2 linked regions of the Rhinolophus ferrumequinum genome follow. The protein of the gene in region 1 purifies or fractionates together with the protein of each later gene. This does not show direct contact. Links are inferred from orthologs where the notes say so. Each region holds a gene or a part of one and is shown on either strand. Other genes may lie near its edges.

What was found. Proteins that work in one complex are often made in the same cells at the same time.
Region 2: the proteins of ITGA3 (region 1) and CD9 purify together in Homo sapiens (affinity purification with western blotting; 3 studies listed by BioGRID and IntAct, with this or other methods). This does not show direct contact. The link is inferred for Rhinolophus ferrumequinum from reciprocal best matches to the Homo sapiens genes ITGA3 and CD9.

The regions. Positions count from the first base shown.
Region 1 is NC_046304.1:33,418,710-33,427,015, reverse strand, and holds the start of ITGA3 (integrin alpha-3), read left to right. Parts: upstream 1-4,837; coding exon 4,838-5,043; intron 5,044-8,306.
Region 2 is NC_046293.1:23,513,696-23,521,072, forward strand, and holds the start of CD9 (CD9 antigen), read left to right. Parts: upstream 1-4,249; 5' UTR 4,250-4,399; intron 4,400-4,706; 5' UTR 4,707-4,818; coding exon 4,819-4,884; intron 4,885-7,377. UniProt on the Homo sapiens protein: Integral membrane protein associated with integrins, which regulates different processes, such as sperm-egg fusion, platelet activation and aggregation, and cell adhesion.

The DNA of each region.
Region 1 (8,306 bases):
GGCTCCAGGGGGCTGGCGACTCAGCTCAGCCAGGGCTACCACGTGGGCCCCATGGCCTCCCAACCTTGAAGGTGCCACCTTGGCATGAGATAGAGAATGCTGGTGGAGAGCCCACCAGAGTCCTAATCTCCAAGCCAGGAGGGCAGGCCATGTGCAGCAAGGCCAGGCCCTGGGTGGCAGTGAGGGGACCATGGAGAGGGTTGGAGGAACTAGAAAGACGGTGTATGGGGGGTGTTGACTGGCAGGGAAGTTTCCTGATGTTTGGGGCCTGCTCACCGGGCGCCTGAAGGCGTCACTGCTTATTTATTCCCAGAACCCCTCTGCTCTTTCCCTCTGCCACCCCAGGCGTGCTCCGCCACACCTGCGCCTGAAGTCCAAGTCAAAGCAGTGTCCTGGGGCCTTCTCTCTCACTGTCTTCCGCCCCCCCTCTGCCCCTCACCCCTGGCTGAAATTATTACAGCAGCCCCTTCCTGCTGGCTCCTTCTCTCTTGGCAATGCCAATTTCATGCTGTAGCCAAAACGTTCTTTCTGACACCCCCTCATTGCTCCATAAGCCCCAGCCCTAAACTACAATGTCATGTGGATTTAGCCTGTTTAAATTTGAGAGCTTTCAGAATGTGAGGCCAGGATGAACGCCCGGCCTCTGGGAAATGCGCTGGCTCATCTCTGACACCCCTGGGGCTTCTCAGCTCTGTGCCAGTGCATAGTAGGTTGTCAGTGAATGTCTGAGGCCGACAGATTCTGAGCCAGGGAAGTTGCCGGGACTGGGCTCTCGCCCCACTCCCGCCCCCCCACGCCTGTATCTGGGTCACTGGAGAAAGGAAATCTGATAAACCCATTCAAGCTTCACAGCTCCTCCCTCTCTCTCCAGTTATTTGCATTTTCAATTCAAATCAGAGATAGAGACCTGAGTCTGAGTTCAATAGCAGAGATTTGGTCCACTTAGTTCAACAAACGTTAGGAGCCTTGGGGCACAAAGGATACCCGTAGAGGAATAATGAGGAATTTTCCACAGCCCTTTCTTTTCACAGATGAAGAAATCGAGGCTTGGAGGGGGAAAGTAACTTGCCCCAGGTGAGAGAGCAGAAGGTAGCCTGCATTCAGCCCTCACGGCCCCATAATTCCACTCCATCTCACTATCTCTCCACTAACTGCCTGGGAACATCCACGCACTGACCTTCCTGTAAAAAGTGAGTGAGCAAGTGGTGTGATCTGGGCTCTGGGAGACCAAGGTGGGGTGTGAGGGGGTAAGCAGGCAGACGAAGGCTGGTAGAAACACCGCAAGTGCCGAAGAAATGGAAAGTGCCTTTATAGAATTTTGATGTCATTTTTGCGACAGAAAACTTCACCCCAAACCAGACCCCAATTTTTCTGCTTTCTTCTCTCCTGAGACGCCCTCTTGCTAGTCCTTTCCTTCTCCCTCGTCCAGGTACTCCTCCTCCAGGAAGCCTCCTTGACCCTGCAGAACCTATAGTTGCATGTTGTCATGGTCCTGCAGAGACAGATGGACCCCACCCAAGGTTTAGTTCAATGTCAAGACTGATGACGCCACACACAACATCAAGAGAGAACGCAAAGTTTTATTATTTACATAATTGAGGTCTCTAGGGAAGCAGAGCAGGCCTCTCTCAAGCAGGTCTGAAATAGCTTGAGAGAGCCAAGAAAGGAGATTGGCCCAGTATTTTTACTGTGCTTAGGGAATGAGGTCATGGAAGGGCTTTTTTTGTGCAGGAAGGACTTGCATGGTTCAAATCTCCCACGGACTCCAAAGGAGGGAGCATAGCACCCATGCTTTCTCAATCAGCTCGCCCAGGTGTGGGGCACAGAGGGAGGAGGGAGAGGCAACAGCTTAAAAAGCTGTCAGCAGTCAAACATCAAAAACAGGACTCAGACTCCTCATCACGCATGTTATTCACATGTCCTTGTTTCTCTGTCTGTGTCTATTTCTAGGTGGGTCCCTTCTCCATGAGGAAGAGTTGACATGATGAAGTCAGCTGGGGGATGAGATGAGATCGTGGATGACGTCACTGAGACCAGAGCATTTCGGACATTTGGCATGAAGTTGGGATTTCTCTTTCTGTATCTCTCCAGCCCAGAGGCCCTTCCAGTCTCCAAGTCTCCCTCTACCATTCCATCTCCCCCAGATCTGTCTGACACTCCCCCACATTCCTGAGCTTGGGCCCTCCCCCAACCAGACTCCTGCTCCCACATTCCCTGTGGACACTCCCCTGGAGTGGAAAAACCATCCCTCATCCCTTTCCTGCTCCCAGCCCCAGGATCGGACATGCTGGTCATTCCTGTTGGGGATGGCCAAAGAGATAACGCCTGGCATGGAGCCCTCCTGTGTCGTCACCGGGCTCTTAAAGCTATTTCAGGCGGGACCCCTGCCCACACTGTGTTCCCTGGCCCCTAAGCTCTTGGCTCTGGCTGCCTCCTCTTCTCCTAGAACAAGGTGGAGGACCCAGCAGCCAGCCAGGAGATCCAGGTAATGGTTCAACTCCCCGCTGAGTCAGTTTCCTGTTCCTTGACCCCAGATATCTCCTGACCCCGGGAGGCTCTGTGCCACAGGTGGACCATGGAGAGAGGCTGGGTGGCTCTGGGAGTCACAGCTTGGGAACAAGTGTTCTCCTCAGGGCAGACAGGGATGAGTGTCCTCTCCCCAAACAGCACAGAGAACACTGTTATCGCAGCTGCTTCTATGTAGGGACATCTGGCTGTCTGACCAACATCTGCCTGGAGTTTGTCTCTTAAAGACACAGCTGTGATTGGTGGCTTCCAGTCCTAACTCTGCTTCCCATGAGCTGTGGGATCTTGGACATCCAGGTTCCCTAGTAAGTCAGATGAGGATGATAATCCTGAATTTATAGGGAGCCTGGGAAGATGAAATGAGAGTCTGCATGTGAAATGATTCATCAACTGTAAAGTTTGGCCTGAGTCCTTCCCAGGCTCTGAATCTAATTTTATACTCCTACCTAATTCTTTACTCTTTTCTTTAAAGAGGGCTCCAAATTGTACAAGCTTCAAGCCCCACAAAACCTAGATTTGCCCTGAGTATTGTACAAATGTTAATTATTAGCTTAATTGGTCAAGAAGGGCTCTGAGGTCAGATTACACGGAATTAAAATCCGAGCTGTGTGGCCTTCACCAAGTTGCTTAACCTCCCTGAGCCTCCGTTTTCTCATCTTGAAACAGAGATAACACCTCAGAGATTATTGTGAGGATTTAATAATATTTGTAAAGCATTAAGCATACGTCCCCCGGCATAAGCACTACTACATGGGTCTTATCATTATTACAAACTCTCTGACAGGGGTTCTAAATTGAACTTCAAGGGAGGGCTGAACTGGAAAGTTCCTTTACCCTAGAGAAAAGAATGGTCAGAGGAAATGGGTCTTTCCACCGCAATATGGGGAAATCTGAGTTAGACCCAAGAAATCTGAGTTAGACCCATCGTGACCTCTTGAATTTCCTTTTCAGTTGATTCTTCTGCGGGTAACCAAACATTTAGGCCCCACCCACCTACCTCCAACTGGCACCGCCCACTTACACACCTGCGGGGGCTGGCGTTCCTGCCCAGTCTCCAAACAGTCCGTCTGAGCCTGGGAGGGAGCTCAGGGTACCTTTGGGATTCTGGTGGGCTCGTCCCTGAAGGCGAATGAGAAATCGGTGCAGTCTGGGCCCAGCTCCCTAGCCACGGAGGGGCACTCTTAGGAGCAGGGACTCATTTCCACATCGGGCTTACAAGGGAGACCAGAAGGCGCAGCCCTTGGGAGAAAACGCTGTCTTGTTGCTAATTACGATTACAGATACTTGTTTATTTACTACTGCTAAATATCTGTCTGGCTTTGCGGAGGGACCATTTCCAGCTGGGATCAGGGTGGGTGGAGGCGGGTGGGCAAGAGAAAAAAATCTCGACGAGGACAGCAAAGAGGCTGGTTGCGAGGAGGAACGCCCAGAGACCGCCAGCCACCTCTCTGGGACTCCCAGCGCGGCGGAGGCGAGTGGGGCATTCCAGCCAGAGGCGAGCGGGGGTCGTTTCCCAGATGCGCCAACGCTGGGGCTCTCCCGCCGAGACAGCAGAGATGCCCGCTCCTGGAAAAGCCTTTCCAGCAGCAGTAGCAGCAGCAGCAAACCCGCGGGACAAATCCCATCCCCGGCCCCGCTGGTCCAATCCATCTTGCTCCGGAGGCGACGCTTCTCTTGAAAAGCAAGGGGCGGGGAAGGGAAATTCAAGCCTTTGGGGGCTCCCGACAGGTGTTTGGGGGAGAGGGCGGAGCCGGTTTGGGGAGGATGAGGGAGGGGCAGTGCTGCCCCTTTAAGAGGCGGCGGCCGAACCGGGACCTTTTCTCTTCCCCGGAAGGAGAGCGGAGCCGCGACTGGGCGCGCAAGGTGGGGAGGTGCAGAGCTGGGCGTGGGGAGGCGGGGCGCGCGCGCGGGCGGGGGATAACTCTCCTTCCCTCCGGTCCTCCTTGCTGTCGACCAGTCTGCCTGCATAGATCCGCCGCCCAGCCGGGATCGAAGGCTACCGTGCGGCCAAGGGGGCGCGGCCGTGAAGAACTGGGGGCAGGGTGCCCGGGGCGGGTGGGCGGTGACCCGACGCTGGGCAGGCGGGAGACTAGACCCGCGGACCTCCGAGGGGAATCGTGAGCAGCGCAGACCCTGAGCGGACGCGACACCGACCAAGGCTGGGGACCAGAAGCTGATCAGCACAGCGGGGCTCAATTACGCGGCCGGCTGGAGTGTTTTCCAGTGGCGCAGGGAGCAGGTGAACAGGTTCTCATTCCCAGCTCCACGCCCTCACGCTCTCTCGGCCCGGCCCTCGCTCCAGCTCGCAGCCATGGGCCCCGGCCCCCGCCGCGCCACCCGCGTCCTGCGCCCGATGCTCTGCGCGCTTGTCTTGATGGTGGCCGTCGGCGGCCGCGTCGCCTCCGCCTTCAACCTGGACACCCGATTCCTGGTGGTGAAGGAGGCCGGGAACCCGGGCAGCCTCTTCGGCTACTCGGTCGCCCTCCACCGGCAGACGGAGCGGCAGCAGCGCTACCTGTAAGTAAGGCTGGCGGGGGTGGGGTGGGAGAGAGAGTGTGTGTGTGTGTGCAGGGTGCGGATCCGCAGCTGAGTCCAAGTCTTGGCCCGCTCGGGCTTCCAGGCCTGGGAGCTGCCTGCTCCCCTGAGCGAAGATTAAGGGGGCGGGGACCCGGGCAACCCTCCTGCTGCTGAGGTTTGGCGGGAAGTGGAGGGATTGGGTATGGGGTGGGGGGCAGTAATCACTGGCAAATGCTGACCCAGCCAGAACCTGTCTAGACGCAGTCCCTCAGCCCTTCACATCTCTCTGAAGAGCAGAAGAGGGGTCCCCGTTTCCTTAGCTCCCTTCCATTCTGTGAATTGAGTACCTAGTATACTGCATGCCTCTTCTCTCCAGGGCTGGGAGCGTGGGAAAACTGCAAGATAAACACCTAGTGGATCCCCCTTCCCCGTTTTTTGGGGGAAGCATCTATGGGCACATGCACTTAAGCCCGCTTTCTTTACACCTCGCATTTAGTCTGCGGCCAGGCCAGCCACACCCTCTGCAGAGCCAGACTGGAGGACTTCTCAACCAGCGCTTGGCGCTTGGCGGTTGGGGTGACTTGGGGGTTGAAGTGATGTGATGAGAGAGTCTGGGCATTTGGAGCTGTCCAGGCGCTCCCTCTGAGCTCTTGAGGTTGGAGGAGTAGAAGAAAGAGGAGGGGCTGTCCCAAATCCTGCTTGGTCTCCTGCCCCCCACCCCAACCCAGCAGTGACGCCCTCCCACCAGACATCTTTCCTGCATTCCACAGATTCATGTTGAATCTTCAACCCTGAGTGTGTTTGTTTGGTTTGAAGAGCGAAATGGTGTTTTTTTCTTTCTTCTGGTCTCCTTCTCCAACAGCTGCAAGAAGAAGGAGGGGGGAGAACTAGGCGTAGGGGAGAGAGGGAAGGAGATTGCACTCAGCTGCTTGTGCCCCCACCCCCACTCCTACCATACACACTCATGTCCAGAGGGGCATGTCCAGGTTTCAGATGTTTCTGTGCCATGGACTCAGTATGTTGAGGTCAGCAGTTGGGGAAGAGGACAGCTGGGGGAGGGTAGGCTGCCCCAGGAGGGATGGTGTTTAGGACAGGCCAGGCAGCCCCTGTCACTTTGGGCTGGGTGACCTACCAGACATCTGCACCCTCCTGGCACCTGACCCCGCTAAGCAAGAGGACACGATCAGAAAAAGGGTGTGTGGCTGGGGCCTGCGGAAACTTGAGGAAACTTGGAATATCCAAAGTCCAAACTCTGCCCCAGTCTTGGCTCCTGCCCTGCTGGCCCAGCCCCTGCCCAACCTACCTGAACTTGGCCTTGATTCCATCTGCAGAGCATATGGCCACCACACCCTTCCCAGTCCGGCCCCAGCAGCTGCCGTCTGGCCTTGGCCAACCCTCCATCTTTCGGAGACCCTAAGTGGCCATCAACACAAGTTTCTATATTGGTGCTCTCTCTGCCCCCACCCAGAAAAAGATCTTCTGATTTCCCATGCCGAATCTGCATGATACAAGGCGACACAGTGTAAAGAGAAGATCAGAAAAGCAAGAGGAAATAATGGAAAGCTAGAGTCAATAAAAGATTCTGCAATACCACCATCCCCCTGTGCTATGTGACCTTGAACAAGACAGTTCCCTTATCTGGGCCAGTTTTATCCAAAGAGGGATTGGACCTGGATCTAGATGTTCCTTCCTGCCTATGTTGCCCTATGAGAGGCAACTTGGCATTGTGGAGAAAGCAGCAGCTCCCGAGTTCCACTGCCAATTTCCTGTCTTGGATCTGTCAATCATACCTCCGCCTTAATTTCCTCACGTGTTAGGGGAAGGGGAACAGCACGCCTTCTTCATGGGGTGACGGGGGGCTTTAATGAGATAATGTGAATGAAATGCCCTGCGTGTGCCAAGGCGCAGCGGAAGGCTCGTGTACTGAAGCCAGAACCTGGATGCACCTTCACCACCCAGGGGCCTCACCCAAGATGGCTGAGCCCAGGGGTTCTACTTTTTTTCCTGGGCAGTTAGAGATGACATTAGGCCTGCCAAGAGCCCAGAAGGTCCTAAAACTAATGAACCTCAGAGAAGCAGGTCGTTCCAGATGGAGTTCGGGGTCACTCTCTTGGGTATCCTCAGTCTTTCCCAGGGATGGTTCTAGATCTTGGCTCATCTCCTCATCTCACTGAATTCTGCCCGTTGGCTCTTTGGGAGAGCCAGCTGGCCCAGCTGGGCTTAGCTGCAGCCAGCTGTGTAGCCAGATGTGAACAGCTGCCTGAGTGCACAGCTCAGGGGAACCAGCTACTCAAGTTGGCTCTTAATCTGTTAGCCTCAAAGTCCCTTCGGAAAGGGGGATGGTTCATGGTCCTGAACAAACTCTTAGCCTGGGGTTCATAGGAGGTTTTCTGGAGGTGCAGGGAACCCTGAAAGTCTATGTAAAATCATATGTATTTGTTCATTGTTCTGGGGGTCAGGAGGAGGGGAGAGCATAGCTTTTTCATCATATTCTCAAAGAAGGCCTTAATCCAGAAATGGTTAAAAACCCAGGTGTGGCCCCTCTTGGTTCCCTGTCATCTCCATCTCTGGACTGGTGTTCCCTGCCCACAACACCGGAGGCTCACCCCAACCCAGGCCCCAATTTCTCAATCTCTGGACATGAGAGGTGAGGAGCAGGGCAGAGGACCAAGGTGCTTTGGGCTTCTTGGTGAGATGCATGAGGACGCCTGGGAAAGCAGAGGGACTCTTCCTCCGGGAGATGGTCACCAACCCTGCGCACCCCCAGCACCTATCTGCCTTCCCTCCTGGGAATCCAGGTGTCCTGGTCTGGCCTGACTTTATGGGCTATGGGAGGTACCTCTGGGGCTCTCTCTCCCTTTCGCCTTTGCCTGGCAATGAGGGTTTCTGGGAAGCCTCGGATGGGGGTTGCTGTGGCTCGTGGAAGATGAGGTCATACCTGAGGGAGGCAGGAGCCAGGGTGACTGCTGTGCTCTCCTAAAACACGTTTCTTTGGGCAGAGCAGACGCCTGGCAGCCTCCAAGGCGCATGCCAAAGAAAATGGGCATAGCAATTGTGGCTGCAGGCAGCAGGCCTGCGTGTGTATGTCCTTTTCCTCTGGCTCTCTTCAATGACCAGTCCAGACCAAGGGGCTTTCAACTGAGCGGGAGGCCGGGGAAGCCTGATCTTGTAGAAAAAAAGCAGTGAAAGGGGTTTGGTCAGAGCTAAACAAAGGAGGAAGAGGATGTCCATTGCAGCAAGAGGAATTGAGGTTAGATGACATG
Region 2 (7,377 bases), on another chromosome or scaffold:
ATCCTTCTCAGATTCTGACCTCCTACCTCCTCTCATAAGGACTCTTGTGATGACATTGGGCCCACAAGTATGATCCAGAATAACCTCCCATCTCAAGATGCTTAACTATCTCATGTGCAAAATCCCCTTTGCCGTGTAGTGTCACATCTTCACAGATTTGAAGAATTAGGAGGTGGGCATATTGGAGAGAGGGGGCATTAAAGTGGAAATGCCCAACAGGTCCCAGGATATCATGAAGAGTCTAGAGAGGGGTCAGCTCAAAAACAAAATGCTGGGAGGAAGAAGAGGGGTTGAGTGCTCAGTGAAAGACCTGAGAGCGGGGCACAGAGGGCAGAGAACTAAAGCCTGAGGAACACCCACTCCCTTGCAGTTTTTCCACACATGTTGGCAGACAGCTCACTCTGTGCGAGGAAGGGACTGACTGCTATGGAGAACACAGAAACTAGTCAAGAGAAAGTATTCTAGAGGAGCTCACCACCAAGTTGTGCACAGAGAACTTGATGGAGGTCAATGAGTAACGGGTGAGACAGTCAAACAAGGTGATCCATGGAGCAGTGAAGGAAGCCTTCTTGAAGTGGTGGCATTTGAGCTTAGTAAGAGGAGCAATAAAGAACTTTCTAGAAGTGACGGGAGTGAACCAAGATTATACAGCACCAGAGACACTGAGGGAAAAGTGTCTAGAAAGAAGGAATGGTCAGCAGCAGCATCAAGGAGAAAACAATACTCAAAATGGCCATTGGTGTGGTGTCTGGAAGGGCCTTAGTGGCCTTGAGAGTGTGGGTCCTGCCTCCCAGAGCAGGGATAAGCAATCCCAGGGATATGGATTTGGGAGGTCATTAGTTTACCAGGACCCTGCATGTTCAAATCTAACCACCAGGCGGGGCACACGAGCCAAAGTGGACTCATCCTGAACCAGGGGCTTTTCCAGAAACAGGATGCCCTGAGGGAAGAGAGGAAAACTTTTTAAAGATTTTATTGGGAAAGGGGAACAGGACTTTATTGGGGAACAGTGTGTTTTTTCCCAAGACCCATCAACTCCAAGTCAAGCTGTTCTTTCAATCTTATTTGCGGAGGGCACAGCTCAGCTCCAAGTCCAGTTGCTGTTTTTCAATCTAGTTGCGGGGGGCACAGCCCACCATCTCTTGCAGGAATCGAACAGGCAATCTTGTTATTGAGAGCACGCGCTCTAACCAACTGAGCCATCCAGCTGCCGGGGAGTAGCTCCTTGTCTTTACTCTAGTTGCAGAGGGAGCAGCTCACTGGCCCATGGGAATTGAACTGGCAACCCTGTTGCTCAGAGCTCGCACTCTAACCAACTGAGCTATCCAGCAGCCCCGAAAGAGGAATGCTTCTCCCCTTCCAGCACCACAAAACCTGGAAGGCCTCATGTCTCCATGTGATCTCTGACTCAGGGACTTATCCAGATTTTCCCCATCCAGCTAAAGCAAACCATATTTTTTCCATCTCTCCTTTTCCTGGCTGCCTATAACACACTTTGGCCCAGAGGCTTACTGCACCATAGACTGTCACAACGGAGGAGACATCTAATCCAAAATGCTCATTGTACAGATTGAGGCCCAGGGAGCCTGTGACTTGTCCAAAATAAACCAAAGGGTGGGACCAAGAATAGAAGTCAGATCTCCTTGCTCAGAACTATAAGGCCTCCTTTGATTATATGTAATTTGGTGCTTAACTATAGCCCCCCTCACAATTGTTTCTTGAGTGTAAATAATAACAGTAATAGTAACAACAGCCAACATTCCTTGAGCACTTCTGGGGCAGGCACTGTACTAAGTAAGCCATGTTGTGGATTACTTTATTCAATACTAGCAATTACCCTAAGAAGTAGTTTCTATTATAAGCTTAAACATTCACTAAACACCTCCCAACTTGTGCTTGTTAATGGGGGGGCGGGGGGGGGGATTTAGAATATAAAAAGATAAATTCTTCTCTTTCCGTAGACTCTGGCTGTCCAGCACAATGGGACATTGTCTGCTTTGCTCCCTCCCACAGTGCCTCACATACTCCAGTGCCCAACCATCCTCAGTGGACACTGCATTAGGGTGAGAGACTGAGGTAAAGCATTACCAAAATTCCTCTGCTTGGCCATGCTTGGCCACATTTAAGGGAAGCCCATTTTCTCTGCTTCTTTTTCCTCCTCCTCCTCCTTCCGTCCCAGTCTCACCCACTATTGGTCATCCTGCCCTGCAGCCAGCTGCCTGTGGTGTCATGCTCTGAGCCTTTGCACATACAGTACCTTCTGCCTCCAATTTCCTCCTGGTCTTGTCTGCTGCCCCGCCCTCCAAAGTCAGTTGCTGCAGTGTCCCCTGCACTGGGAAGCCTCTCTCCTGACTCTGGCAGAGTTAGAGATGCACCATGTCCCTCTACCTGTTCCTAGGCCATATCTTCCCCCCACCCCACCCCCCCCCACACACACACACAGGCAAAGATTCCATGGGCTCGTGCTCATCTATCCTATACCGTGAGTCTTCCACGTGGGGTAGAGGTCATTGCATCTCAGCATACGGTACAGTATGTGACACATAGCAGGCTCTCAAGAAACATGAAAAGTACAAATGAACGAAGTCCTCCCTAATCTGGTACCTACGACTCTGATTTCCATCTCCCCCTCAGCACCACCCCACCTTGTCTGCTCTTCTGGTTTGGCCGCACTGTCTCCTGTCTCACCCCATTACCCCACCTTAGTTCACTTTGTCTCTCATCTGAACTATTCAACAGCCTCTTCCACGCAGTCCTCAGCTCCCCTTCATTTTCTGCTGCTTCCCTCACATCACCAGATTGCAGGTCCCCAGATACGACACCTCAATTTTCAGTCTAATTCCTCAAAGCCCTGAGCCAAGGCCTGGACAAACAATGGTCCTTATCCTTAAGGGGCCAACTGCCTGCCCCTTCTGCCCTCCCCCACTCAACTAACATACAGATGAGAAATGAACTAAATCACACAGCCAATAGAATCCTTCAGAATGCAAAGTCAGGGGCTGCGAGGTTCCCTTCACCCCACCCCTAGCTAGGTCGCTACCTTCACCTCCCCACATACTGCCCCCATGCCCCCCTGTGAGCTCTAGCCCAGACCCCAGACAGCCCCAGCCCCAGGCATCACCCGAGATTCTCTGACGACTGCAGTAACTTTCCCTGTGGTTCTGCAGCATTGCTTCCAAGTCTGGGTCAGAGGCCCTTCCTTTGAGCTCCCTTAGCCCTGCCGCACACACATATACACACATATAGTATATACAGCACTCTAATCCCCTTGCCAGCCTGCCTGCATACCTCCCCAAGTGGACTCAGAACTCCCTAAGGGCAAAAACAGGATCAGCTCCTTCCTGCTCCTAATGCTGTACCCTCATAAGTAGACAGTGAAAAATGTTTTTGAATGAATGGAGATAAATCTAACAATGAAAATAAACAGCTAAATAAGAGCTACCAGTTGCTGCTGATGGGTGAAATTTTGAGTTACATTCTTTTTGCTTGTTGGTCTTATTCTGATGTTTCTGTATTGAGTATGTTTTGCTTTTGTAATAAAAAAACAAAAAGAACACTAAAGGACACTTCATTTTGAAAAAAATGCAGAGGGGTTTTGGGACAACAGAAGAAGGGAAACGTCCTCATCCTTTGGTGAGAATCAGGAAAGAAATGTTTCAAGAGCCACAGAATTTCTGCAAGTGAAGAGGGGAGGGCCAACCAGCCTTAGGGCACACACCACTGGCACATGCAAAGCCGGGCCAACAAATGTGTGGAGTGCTGGGCAGAGCAGAGTGGTTCCTTACAGATGCAAGATAAGTTATTTCCACTTAGGTCATTGAATGTGGGGAGCTACAGAGACCTTTGAGCAGATGAAAAACATGAACAGAACTTGGTATCCAGAGCATTAAAGAGGGAGTAGTGGACGAAGTCCAAAAGGCAAGAGGGTGGGTGGTGTGCAGTAGAGGCAAGAGGGAAGCTGGGCAACAAACTATCTTCCCCTCTCGGGGCATCTAAACCACAAGTCTAGGAAACGCTCCCGGATTGCCCAACCCTCAGACATATTACTATTTGGTGACGGGCATTTAGAATTATTTCGGTAAGCCGCCGACCTATCTTCCCACCTGGACTGCAAGCTTCTAATTCCTGCTACTCCACATGAGGTGCCAAATACAACCGTGCTCAAAGAGTGAAGGTTTGCACGGAGCCGCCCCAGGAAGAAATAAAGCCAGGCAGCTTCCCTTCAAATCGAAGCCAAAACACGAAGTGCCCTCATTGTGCGGGCAGCCAGCCTTGAGTAAGGGGATTATATCCCGACGACCTGACCCGGAGAAGGTCTCTCAAAGTGGAGGCCTCGGGCAGGAAGCCCGGACTCGACCAGGCGAGAACCAGAACGGCGAGGCTGCCACAAAACGCCCAGGTTAAAGCAGCAGGGGGTGGCAGTCTGGAAAGACCCCTAGACGGTTGGGAGGAAAGGGGGTGGATGGCGTAAGAAAGGGACCGCCAAGTCGGTGGGGAGCGGACGGAGCCCGAAACTATGGGAGAAAGAGGGAAGGGCGCGGATGGGGGTCTGCAGGGGCTGGAATCTCGGGAACCTGGGCGGGGGCGGGCGGCGGGCGGGGGCCGGGGCAGGTGGGGCCGGGGGCGGGGCCGGGGCGGGGTCCTCGGCACATGCGCACTGCAGCCTACAGGGCTCCGTACCGAGTGGCACTTTTTTAAAAGTGCAGCCCGGAGGCCAAGCGGCAGCCACCCGCACGTCGGTCCCAACCTGGTCCTGCCCGTCCCCGCCGCGCGCCCCGGTCCCACACCAGTGCAGTTCAGGCCAATCCAGCCCGCACCATGCCGGTCAAAGGAGGCACTAAGTGCATCAAATACCTGCTCTTCGGCTTTAACTTCATCTTCTGGGTGAGTGAGCGCGACAACCGCGCGTGCTTCTCTCCGGGGCCACCTGTCCGCCCCAGGGACCCTGTCCGCGGTCGCGGGTACGGGTAACTAAAACCGCCCGCCGGGTAGACTCCGGGCCGAGGAGAAAGGGCACGGCGGGCGCCAGCTGGCAGCGCCGCCGGGTCCGGAGACGGGCGGGGCGGCTGTGTTTGTAGGGGGCTCTCCGAAGCCGGGCAGGCAGGAAGACACGGGGTCCCCAGCGAGCTGGGGCGTAGAGACCCGCTCCAGGCCGCTCCTTCGCTAAGGGTGTGGGCCGGGCTGTGTGTGCCCCTGCGAGTACGGTGAGGGAGGGAGTGGAGCCGCTAGGGAGAAACGGAGCACCCCTCCCGGGAACTCGAGGCCCTGGCCCAGGACGGTAGCGGAGAGTGCAGTTCGTGACCGAGGTGAGGTCTCACAAGTGGCAGGGCCGCGATGAGGGGAGGGTGCGGGCGCCCTAAAGGACTTTAGTGGCTCAGGGAGAGCTCCGCCAGGAGCTGTTGGCACTTTTACACTGGAGAGGAAGGAGTGCGGATGGCCGGTCCCGGTCCCTAAGTGAGAGGCGGGACCACCCCCCTCCACCCTCAAGGAGGAACCTTCAGCCCCCTCAATTCTCTCAAACTCTGATTCTGAGCCGCCACGAGAATGTCCGAGCTCCCTCGAAACTACCTGAAAGACTAGCTTGTCTTGATTTTTTTTTCAAGGGCGATAAGTATCTGAACTGGGGAGAACGCTGGGAGAGTTGGGGAGAGGAGGGGCAGATGCAAGTGCGCACTTTTAGTGGGATTTCTCCAGTTCCGGGAGAGATTAGGTGCGGGCCCCAGAGCCCTCTGGCTTCGTCCCCTTCCGCCCCCACCTCCCCCGAGTGGCAAGGCGTGGCCACGAAAGCGCGCGTTCACCTGGAGAGGACACCTGGCCGTCCTCCAGGACTCCCGCTGCTGGCCGCACTCAGCCTTTCTGCAATAGGAACCCTGAGGGAGGCAGCAGAAAAGGGGAGTGTCTCCTCCACACCTTCCCTTGGAGGATTAAGGGACCACCCAGAGACGGAAGCAAGGAATAGGGAACCTTCGTGTTCTGGTTTTGAGGGCTACATCCGCTGCACATAGATGAACGGTCTTTGCCTTTCTGCAGTCAGGAAGGAGTTTGGAAAGGTAGCCCCTGTGCCACGCAAGAGAGACGGCTGTAAAAACGGGCATGCCACCGGAGGCTTATAAAAAAAATGTACTGATTCCCTTGGAGCTGGTCCCTGGGATCCCCACAATCCTCGGGGCAAATCTCCTGAAATTTAATCCTTTCTCCAGAGCTGACAGGGTAAGATACTGAGCTGCCCTTGCAAGAGTCACCACACCCAACACGTGCTAGTGTGGCTGGCACACAGGTGTGCCCCTGCCCAACCCTTGGCCTGCTTTGGGGAGACCCTCCTGTGGTGGGCACCCTTCACCCCCTCCCATCCCCTATTCCCAGCACCCAGCCCCTATAACTGCCAGGCTCGGCTTCCTCTTCTCATCAACCCCAGCACCAGAAAAGAATGTCGAAGGCAGCCCGCCCCAACCCACCCCACTCTTCTCCTTTGGGGAGTTTTCCTCCCCTCCCTAGCACAGTCTCTCCCCTGCCAGTCTGTTGGTTAGTCCTCAGCTCTCCTCCTAGGCTGCATCAGGGTTTGGGGCGAGAGTGAACCACAGATTACCAGTGTGCCTCCATACCCCCATCTTCCCAGTGGCACAAGTAGGGCCTGATGGAAGGCTCCCAGGGACACTGCGGCATCTGCTCAGCCTCTTACTGTCTCCATCCTGCCACCCCATCCATATTCAGAGCTGCTCCTGCCTGGACTGAGTGCTGTTGTTCAGGTATGTGGCCTGAAACAGAAATGACTCACTCTGGGAATGTTGGGTTTAGAGCTAGGAATGACTAGAGATTATTCACAGTGAGAAGGCAGAGAACCAAAGAGGGGGTGATTTGCCCAGGATCACAGAGACGGAGCCAGTACTACACCTCCAGGTTCCTTATTCTAGTCTTGTCCATCACAAAACCATCCAGGGGACCTGGTAATGGGCTTGTGTGGGGGGTAAGCAATAGCTACGTTTTCCTGAATTATTGTTCAGTAGTCCTGTGTCAAGGTCCCTATAGAGATGAAGCCCTCATCCCCCAGGAGATGATGGAATAAAGGAATACTGTGATCCACTCATGTAGCGTTTTATAGTCTGCAAAATCCCAAGCTCCCGTGATATAGCCAAAGCGGGAAGCATTATCCCCATTTTACTGATGATCAGGAAACTAGTCCCCAGAGAAGTTAAGTGACTTAGCCAGGGTCATGTGGCAGGATAGCATCAGAAGTCAGTTTGAAAGCAGATCTGGTTGGCTTCAAATCCAGTGCACTTTGTGTTATGCAAATCACAACATACTGCCATACCCAGCTGGGTGGGAACAAGCTCTCAAAAATCTTTTAAGGGAAGCTACTATCTAAGGGAACTGCTTGTA